Linked DNA regions of Drosophila melanogaster. The protein of the gene in region 1 interacts with the protein of each later gene in a pairwise test. Each region holds a gene or a part of one and is shown on either strand. Other genes may lie near its edges. The genes, in order: CG1421 and CG14989.

Evidence for each region.
Region 2: the proteins of CG1421 (region 1) and CG14989 interact in a two-hybrid assay, tested with the Drosophila melanogaster proteins (one large-scale study listed by BioGRID).

What each region holds. Positions count from the first base shown.
Region 1 is NT_033779.5:21,900,925-21,904,333, reverse strand, and holds CG1421 (uncharacterized protein), read right to left. Parts: upstream 1,342-3,409; 5' UTR 1,185-1,341; coding exon 618-1,184; 3' UTR 595-617; downstream 1-594.
Region 2 is NT_037436.4:4,085,623-4,093,265, forward strand, and holds CG14989 (uncharacterized protein), read left to right. Parts: upstream 1-1,958; 5' UTR 1,959-2,082; intron 2,083-2,589; exon of another isoform or gene 2,590-3,122; intron 3,123-3,337; 5' UTR 3,338-3,344; coding exon 3,345-3,592; intron 3,593-4,416; coding exon 4,417-4,520; intron 4,521-4,650; coding exon 4,651-5,039; 3' UTR 5,040-7,084; downstream 7,085-7,643. Other genes in the region: CG14990 (uncharacterized protein), read left to right, coding at 7,617-7,643.

The DNA.
Region 1 (3,409 bases):
CTACTTTCGACGTGCTGCGCGTTGTTATACTAAAATGCATTTGTGCATAGGAATTAATTACGCATAATGACAATTTGATAAAATTGAAAAATTACATTTTATTTAAATTGATTTATTGTAATTAAAAATTCTATAATGGCTCCCAGGGTCCGAGTTTGCGGTCATCCCAGAAATGTTTTTCTGAACAATGCGAATTTAATTTATCGGCATTGATAAGTGTGTAACATTTACTGGCAAAAACTATTCAAACACAGCAAACACGCCATACGCTAAGACATATACATAAGTATGGATCACAGTGGGAGTAAAGGGAAAAGTCGATCTCATTGATTTCTTTCCTAACCTCCAGCAAAAACAGCAGTCCGCAATCCATTTGAATTACATAGGAGGACAAAAAATCATCTTTTATAAATGTAGCACTCGCATAATTCATATTAATAAATTTTCGACTTGAAAAAGCTTTGAAGACTTCTTACCCACTATGATAATGTTGCTATTTTTGAACGTTTAGCATTAAGATATTAAAATAAAAAAGCAACTACATTGAAGCGATGTCTAAAGAGACAGCTCCCTCAGTTAGTCAAACAAATCCCTGAAAAGAGCTGCAATGTTGGAATTTAATAAAAGTAGAACACATAAGATAGTTTTTCTTTAAGCCACTGGGAAAAACCGACTTTTTTGGTAGTGCCCTTGGACTTATTTTCTCCACGGTTTCCCATCAGCAGTTGATCGGAAATGATCGCGTTTCTTTCATCCGCGGCATCGACAATAGCCATTCCTGTAGTTTCATTGTCAGGGGGATCGCCATTGCCCTCTGAGCATTGCTCCAGAAATTCACTGACGGCATTCTCGGAAACGGGGTTCTCAGCTGTGACTTTTACGCGAATATCCCCGCCATATCCAATTTTTTGGCCATCGTAGCTCAGCGCGATTCGGGCATCCTCCACGCTGAAGTACTTCAGGTACATGCGATTGGTTTTCGTCAAGCTTTTGGCAACAATGCCACCGATATCGAGAAAGAAGCAGTAGACAATGTAAGCCCTGTCCAACTCGTAGTCGCTTACGGATACCCAAAAAGACTGTCTGGGATCTTCGCCATACTTCTTTTTATTATCCTGCAAAATGGTATGGTCTGAATTGTTTCCAACGACTTGATGGAACGCCTTCCGCGACAGACCATCCATTATGGGGTCTTCAAGATATGTTGGTAAGCAATGGTCTTTTTGTTGTCCTGAAAACAAGATCCCTGCGTACTCTGTTTTATCGATTTTCCTGTTAATTTCCTTATTTCTAAATTTATTCTGTCAATCTGACAAATTGATTGCCTATTCTAACAGTCATGTTTAATTTTGACGAAAGATGAAGACAGGCAATGAATGCATTGGTAATGTGATGAACTACAAAAAAGGACAGAAAGAAATCCCGATTTTTACCAGTTTAAGGGATAATAAGTTTAAAATAATCTCTCGCCTATCAGATTACGATCATATAAGATATAAGTGGGAGTGCAAGGGGAAATATCAAAATTAAATTGAATAATCAATAAAAATGACAAAAAACAAGAAATAACGCTATATTCGAGTTTCTCGACTCGTTGCTAAGATAGTGGGATTAGAAGACTAAAAAAAAAGTTAAAAATATCAAAACAATTATCAGGCGTGGCAGTTTCGGGCGGTTGGTAGGCGTAAGAGTGGGCGTGGCAACGCTCTAAAAGAAAATTGCTCATCGTAGGCGTCACTAAAGTCAAAGTTCATACGACCGGCATGGCTGTATCGACGTGGCTATTGATCCCGATAAGGAATATATTTTTTTACGCTACCTGTTACATAATTTTCAACGAATCCCCCCTCCCCCCCCCCCACCATTAAAACGATGATTGTTTTACACAAACCCAATTCAGTTGGGCAAATCCGTTCAGAGCTTTATTTATAAATTGTATTTTCCGATTTCTGAGGAAATATATGATTTAGATTTAGTTTACCTCATGACCCCACCATCCGAGTCACAACAACAGAACAACATCAAACGGCCGGCGGACCCCGAACAGCCGGCTTTGCTTTATTTACGCATAATTTCGTGCAATTTATGGGCTAGGTACTCCACCAAACACATAAATATCTCAGGTCCGGAGCGCAGGGAGGTATCCGAATCAAGGCGAGTTCAAAGCGTTTTTCAGGTCCAGAGTCTATAAAATATTAAAAATTAGCTGATACAAATACATATAAGTTATACTTGGAGGCGCCAATTGCTGTGTGGTGCGTGGAGTGGTTGAGATTGTGATTGCGTGATTGTGGTTTCGGCAGCAGTGGTTGCCACCCACAATGAGCAACAAAAAGGCCGACACGGAAGTGTCTTTCAGCTAGGCCAATTGTGGGCCATTAACGCGATCGGAGATTAAAGGCGGCTGCTTCCGAGGCCAGGTCAAAGGAACTTCAAACGGAGGAACGTTCGAATCAGCCATTGCTGATTGGTTCCCATCATAATTCTAGCAATCGAACGAGTTCCTAATTTGTTTGTTTGTTTGTTTGCCTGTAGTGGCGGCGGCATCCCTTTGAACCGCCGGAGTCTATCGAGCTCAGGTGCGATCTGATGAATCTGCGTACCTTTAGTATGCAGTACTGCTTTCATAATCCTAGATGCCTGCGACCGAATTTCCAAGATGTTAATCATCCGCGAACCGTGAAGCGCAATCTTGAAAACGTTCCAGATCAAAGGCTTATCTCTATCTTGACCTCATAAAATGCAATGAGCTATTCCCTAACGAACTGTGATCTACCTGTAAGCCTAATGATTAAAATCTCTTGCCGCTTGCACTTTCTTTCCTATCTTAATTTGTTTTTTCAAATTTACTGGAATATTAAAGGCAAATAGTCTTTGATATTATAGATATTAAGTGAAAAGTGGGACATAATTTATGCAAAAACTGTCCAATTTAGCTAAACGGCAAACATATGTGTACGTATTTTATTACCTTATTTTTAGATCGACCTAAGCCGTAGTCTCCTCTATAACTAACTTATACATAAAACAAATTAATTTACAATGAATATTATAAATTTGATATAATATTATCCAAGTGCATTTATGGTCTGAAGGGAACTTAACATAATTATTTGTAGCATACAGTCTAGTATATGCTCTAAGGACATAATAGATGTAACCATTAATTACTCAATTCCTTACCATTCATAATTGATTGATGTAAATGATACAGTTCAATATTCCTGTTTCCAAGCTCGATCATTTACAATATATGAATAATAGATGGATTGTGATTTTTTCTCATTACTATTAGTGGTTCTCTTAGTTGTCTTGGCTGAAATTTTTAAATTTTAAAATAAAAAGGCAAGTCATTTTTTAAAGCTGTGCTCGTCGGCACTACAATCGGCATGCGCATCTCAAATTTTTC
Region 2 (7,643 bases), on another chromosome or scaffold:
AGAGTTCTCTTCTTCCTAGCAACAACAAAAAACACTGAAAATCACTCGCGAAACGGAGGAGCAACAATTCGCTGATTGAACGGACTGGGAATTACTATTGGATTTGAAATGTATATATATTTTCACAGGTTCACAGGTTTCGGGCAACTTTCACTTTCGGTTTGGGAAACTTAGGGAACTGAGCAGCCTACACTCGCTGACGATCTGCGGAGCTATGAGCAGCAGCATCCGCCTGAGTTGCCTACGAAGCTTTTCGCATCCAAAAAATGGCTGCCCATATACCACTACAAGCGTACCTATGTATATACATACTACTCCTCAATCTCTTGCATAACCTTCAGCGACAACGACAACAACAGTGGGGCTGAGGAAAATGCGGGAAATTCTCCGGGTGACGTCATTGATTTTTCGGAAACCATCTTTGTTAAGGCCATTTTGCGTGGGCGGAGCTTCGGCCATGCGCGCCCCAAAGTATCCAACAGATACACATGAAATATGTGCGCACGCCTGGTGAATGCTAAAGAAATAATAAAACGGGATAAAGGGAAAGGAAAATATAGATTGTGATGGGGCGACCAAATGAAAAGCTAATTAACAAACTAATTTTGCCACTGTTTCTGACATTTACAATGACCCACAACTTTTTATGAGAGTTTCCTGTCGAATGAAACAAAAAAAAATAACCCTATAATTACTTTCATTTCCCGCATATATGTACATATGTGCGCTTAGATATAGAAGCCAAAGCATATAGATTCCTGGTATATAGAACAAAAACGAAATTTGGGTCAAAGCTAGGCCGCCCGCCCACTTGGGCTATGCAAAATAGATATGTATCTCAGAGTGAAATTGCATCATTTCCAATAGAACGCGTTTCGTAGCATACTTTTGAGGGCCAGAGAACATCTATGGCCATGTTATGCAACTTGGGTAAAGAGCCCAGGAGCAGCAGGACCAAAAAGGACGTCCATCAAACTGGAGAAGCTTAAACAACGAGAACCCTAGGAATACTTGCCGCAAAAGAGTTCCACCCACTCCACTTCCATTCTTATCTGACACACGGAGCAGCTGGCGTAGGATGTTACCACACACTTGGCACTTGGCACTTGGTCCTGCTGCTGCTCCAGCTCCTGCTCCCTGGGCAGGATCCAATGCGTCAGCGTATTTTCGTTGCGAGGGCTCTGGCACTTGAAAAGTGTCTTTCGATGTAACTGATTGCAACTTAAGAAGGCCATTACAGTGGCAATAACTCCCTTGCTAGTCCCTGTGATCCATCTTTTTTATTGAATGCCTGCAATATTGGCAAAATGAAGTCGACACTTGTTCAACATGACTTTCAAAACATTCTCATAGGGCGTAGTGCATTACTTTGTAGCACTAGCTAGAAGAAATCCAACGGCAGTTGCAGAAAGTCCATAAAGCCGTAATTGCACAACGAAATCGTTACTTTTGATGTGGCAACAACTGTGTGAAAGGACTTTCTTCGCAGTTTTTTAATTGTTAATTGCTCAATTGCTTTCTTGAAACAATAAAAACATTTTAGAAGACCTTAAGTGACAAATATGGCGCCTAATAGATATGAATTTGCACCCTACGCCTTAACATCTGCGTAACCCTTTAACAAAACCCATCCATCACAAGTGTCAGACAAATATTTCTGATACAAAAACAGCTCATGGTATTTAGAACCACTAAACATGGCGAAATAAAGTCGCCTGCTATCTGAAAAGCACTTCAACGGCATGTGCTACCAATAATAATTAGGCACTCGGTCTGCACTTATCGCAGATATATGGCAAACAGACCAGTCTGAAAAGGAGGGGGGGATCGGGTGTATCTGCGATAGTCTATCCTCTGATTCGCACTTGAATCTATGACACCGGCAGATAAAGCCATCAAAAACATTTATTATTAGTAAGTGGGATTTTCGTTTGGGCCGGTTTGGGCTCAGTTGAACAACTGCTACCATTTGTAGCGGACAGCTTTATATAAATCCCGTCGAGTTAAGGATTTAAGCATTTCGAGCGGAGCAGGTGCCACGAACAATCGGATTTAATTGAGTCAAACTTTTGGAAAAGCACAGTGAGTTGTAACAGGAAACGGAAACAGAAACAGAAACAGTAACAGAAACAGCAGCAGACATGGACAAACAAAAGGATTATGGGTTTAAGCCATTTTAAGAGCGATGTTTAAAATACTCTCAAAAATAATGGTTGCAATACAAGCATGTCGCCTTGCAGTCCCTTTTAAAAGTTATATGTACATTTTTAAGGAATATTTTAGTTAAAAGAATAGTCATATTACTAAAAATAACAAAGCTTTGAAGAACTATTTATTTGATTTTAATCAAACTAGAAAGCTGAAAGGGATTTGTAAAATTATCAAAAAATAAAACTATGCAGTCATTAAATATTTAATACTTCATTATAAACATTCCTTATTATTAATGATAGCAGATAAATAAATTGAGATAGATACTTTGCATCAGTAGAAATAGTTAGACAGGATCGATACCCTTTCATAAGAGCACAACTAGCGAATGGAATTGAACAATGAGATGAGCTCTCGACCAGAAAATAGGATGCTCACCTGGCTGTGATTGCACGTAGCGCAAGTAGGCCCTGTAACCCAGATAGGCGAAAATGTTTGGAGTCAAGTGCCACCCACGGATGCGGATGGAGCTGGGAGCTTGGGTCTGCTATTCTCGGGCGGCTAATTCAGACCGGGCGTTTCTGGCCAGGGCGAAGCGTCCTCTTTGGCACTCGACTCTCAACTGCCAGCCAGAGGCATCAGAAGCACAGTGGGCCAGGGAATGCTCCGCACCCCGGGGGCCATGAACATTTTTCGTTGCCCGTGGAAAACAAATGGGAGTTTGGGAATTTCGACTGTTTAGCCTGTCATTACGCTGACAAAATAAGATTCCAGCAGGTTGGTTAGCTGAGGCATTTATGTGAGGTATTTTCGACGAGAATCCCGTTGCAAAAGCGTTGTCAGGATGCCAGAATGCCAGGATGCCAGGTGGGAGTCTCAGTTGCGTTCGAAAGACAGGCGATTGCATAACCCCTTTCGGTTTGGCAAATCAAGCGAATGATATTCGGATAGCAAATGCTCGGGATAACAATGGTGTAAGGATTAGGCCCCGCAGGCAAGTACCCCAAACGCTGCTTTTTGCTGCCTATTTTTGAGAGCGCGATAATTGCATTTCGAGCACAATTGCTCCTATTGTACGGGGCCAAACAGTCTCCATTTTGGCCCAGTCCTCCCTGGAGGATAATACGCCCCAAACCAGCGTGAAAAACCCATCCCCCAGTTCCGTAATCTACCCATCTCTTTTCAGCCCAGCGATGGGAGAGCGTGTTGAAAAGCGACAGAGAAAAATGGGGGGATGTGGATTACAGCTCGTCATACCATTGGTCACAATCCTCATCCTGGCTGCGCAGGCGCAGGCTGTGACGTCATCGCCCGTCCTGAAGGACGACACTTTGGGGGATGCTGCTCCGACGGCAGCGCATTCAGCAGCCAAAATCCTTGAAGACGTCCAAACCATCAGCGCAGTTCAGGATTGGAGTTTGCTGTGTAAAGAGCTCTGCGGGTAAGTTTCGGATAAACAGCAATCGAAAACTCTAGGAATTACTGAAAGTAAGGTGCCTCGGCGCAAAGTGACTCAAGTGTTTATTGTTGGCAAGTGCAGGTTTCCCCCCAACACAAAAAAAAGTGCAAACTAATAATGATAATAATACGACACATTTACCAACTAAAATGTTGGCCTTGAGAAATCATTTGCAAATCGCGTCGGCCTTTCAAGTGGCTTCCATCGAGGTTTTCCCACAATCGCGTGTGTCAGGGAAATATAATCCGCATTCCTGATGATCGGTGGCTATATCAATGATTCGTGACTCGACTTTTGTGGCGTGTGTGCAGTAGTTTGTCAAGTGCCAAATATGTTAAGTATAAATGGCACTCGAAGTCGCCAGAAGTACTGTGCTCACTTAAAAAATTGAATAGGCTTTAAAAAATAAATTCTAAATGTCGGGTCAAAGCTAATCAAAATTATTTCACAATTTTACGATATATAATTTACAAATATTATTAATTAGAACATTTTGGCTTGCGTTTATATTTAAAATATACTCTGCATTATTTTTTAATTTGGTGTTTAATACTATTTAAAAATGTTTTGAAATAAATATATTTTTTACAAAAAAAAAAAACAGTTTATCAAGTCGAGATTTTCCTAGATCATTTGTGCTATTTAAAACTATGTTATCTGTAAACCTAGTTTCAATAACAATTATGCATATATCATGGTTCTTAACTTGGTAATGCGAGTGTCATATACTGTCATCTTAAATCTTTTTTTTTTTTAATTTACTCTGCATTGCAATTTAATCAGCATTTTATGGTTGATCCTTGCAGAGCTGGCCTGGGCGTTGCTTCAACGCCTGATGTGGCCAAAAACACAATCCTGAGACCGGAGACGGATGTGGCCAAGTGCCGGCAACTGTGTGGACTGCCTAGGGGTAAGTGGAAAATAATATATTGAAACTCTATTCAAAATATTATACTTTAATGATTATTATGGTCGAACTTAAGGTTAATTTGCTTTTTGAAAAATAAACATACTAATCAAATGCACTTATTTACTTCCAGCTAAAGCGGGCGACTTGGTCTGCTCGAGCTTTTGTGGTCAGATGGGTCGCTCCCTGCCCGGATGCAGTCCCTGCCAGCAGGAGGTGCGCAGGATGAGGGTGATGAAGGAGCGGAAGCAGGAGGAGGAGAAGCAGGAGGAGGTTCGAAAGGACGAGGAGAAGGCCAGTGGAGTGCTGGGCGATCCAACACACGGTTCCAGAGCCGCGGAGAATGCCGAACGGAGAGGATCGGTCGAGGAAGCAACAGTGTCCGCAGCTACCGTGGCAGCCGCCTCGGAAACGGACACAACCACTCCGGCACCGGACTGGGACGAAGTGTGCAAGGTGCTCTGCAAGACTGGCGATGGCGGGTCTTTGTGCAACTGTGATTTATCGCCGTTCTTCAGCTGAGCGATCCCCACCTTCCTGAGGGGATCGCTCCCGATGGAGGCGCTAAATCACAAAACCATATATATGGATCGAGAATTATCTGATTATCTGATGTTTTGTTGTTCTTCGTTTTTGAACTTCAGTTAGTGCTATTGTTGTCATGAAAAAGTATCTCCCATATATAATCTATATCGGAAAACGTGTTACGAAAGTTTAGTTAAATACTGTAAAGAGATAAAAACAAAAACTATAGAAAAATCAAAAAAAAAATCAAACAATTCAATATAAATAATACATAGAGAAGAATATACGATGAGGAGGAGGAGCAAGCAAACAAAAAAAATTCCCTATGCGAATCAATTAATTTGTAACTAATTTCAATTACAACTAACTATAGAAAAGCTATAGAGTAAGCAAGGGGGGGGACTTTACCCCCCACACTCGAGAAACAGCAGAATCACGCAGGGCTTCCAGTGCGTCGCCTCGGAGGATGAGGATGCCCTCCCAAAAGGCATCCGAAATCCCCGGGACGGACACAACCCGTATTTAGGTGATTGGTCAAGGAATTGGACTGAGGAGACACAAGAAGAGATATATGAAGATGAACAACCAATTAATATCAATGTACACAACATATCGTGCGGTAAACACTACCCAAAATCAAAAAACAAAAAAAAAAACACCCAATCACATTTATTTGGAATACACCTTGGTTCGATGGAATCAGCATATCAATTTACCACGAGGCAAAAACAAGTTGGTATCTAAAGAATTTCCTTTGTTTTGGCTTACAAGTTATTGGCGAATCTAAAGCATTGAGATATTTCAAATCAGCATCAATTAGGAGTGTCGCAATTAGGCCAAAGTGCCAACCAAGAGTTTAGTGTTGGTTACGGCCCTTAAACGCAAAAGCAACATTTATAAAATATATACTTGTACTTACTAACGAATAACACATGTAATTGGTCTATATATATATCCACAAAATGAGTTGCGATTGCAAATCAGAAACTCAGACGGGCTATACTGGATCTACCAGACCCGTATACATCATATATATATATATATGAATATATATATATACATAAAGCTGTAAACCATAGTTACCATAATATCTAGGTGTCATATTGTTCAGCATAAATAATCGCATATGATGTATTGTATGCATATTATCTGTGTGTTTGGAAGACATTTTTTCGCATTGCATTGAAATGGAAGACAACTTAAATCGCATTCTGGAAGACATGCGTTGCGGCAGCGCCAAAAAGATCGGCCAGCTGCCAAATAGTTTGTAAGATATTCTATATAATAATAATAATAATGAGATTTTCGATTCGAGCTCGAAGATATAGTCAATACAAGCACACGTTGTTGTGGCAAACGCGACGCTGTGACTGACAATAATTAACTATAACTTAGCAGGAGAAGAGCAGGCAAGGAAGTTCGCATACTCAGTGTCTATATATCAGTACTATTGCTAATATTAACCATGCACTACTACTAATCAAGGAAAATGGAAAATAATTAATAAATATTGTATTGCACCAAAGTTATAAGGCAATTTTCAGAGCACATTCATTGATAACCTAATGCGGCTTCAGTATGTATATCGATGTGTAGCAAGTTAATCACTCAGTAATTAATATACGAAATGCACTTTACATTTATGTATATGTATATGTGTTAGGCGTTGCGTTTCTGCCATGAATACAGCGACTAGCGAACCGATCACACGGATTATGCCGGAATAATATCCATAATTCAATAATATATATATACATATATATATATATTTATAACCAACAGACACATCATCATCATCAATTACGAATACCGAGTCGAAAACCGTTTCGAACCGATTATGCCGTTTCGCAGTTTCGTTTCTTTAGTTTTATCCAATGGCCAGGCATTATCTTAGTCGGTAATGTCTGGGGCTATGGTTAAAATAACACAGAAAAATAGATTTAAAGGCAATTTCACAACAGATAACCATAACAGCAACTACACAACCAAATAAAGGCAATTATTATCTTATATACGTTAAATGTTGTAAAGCCCCTCTAAACAAAAAAAAAAACAAGAAAGCCTGTGTTTTATTGGGATGGCTAAGGGGCTCAATAAATATGCAATTCAATTTTTTATTTTATTAATTTTATTACATTTTTTACAAATACCCCGAGTTTTCATTTAATTTGAATAACAAGAACTAACGTAACGTACAATTTGAATACACTGCTTTACCACGTAAGCTTGAGGAACCGTTTCACTGCTTCAACCGTGGCAAGCAGTGCATAACCGCTTGAGCTGCTTTAAACAGTATTTCAAATCAGGGCGCGCTGTCTACATTCTTATCTATATGTGTATAACAAAAAAATTGATTGCTTATTTCTTAGGTACCTACATACATATATTAATTATTTCCCATAGGAGTGCATGCGTATATTTTTCGTAGATATTATTCGCTCTCTTTTAGAAAATATATAAAGCTTAGTATGTATACTATCAACAGTGACTGATAAGCATGATTCCCGTCGAATTTTTAAAAGTGTCGCAGCTTCTGACTTTTAGTCGTTTGGAATTTGTGAGCTCAAGCAAACCATGCTCAAGAACTGGACAATAAATACG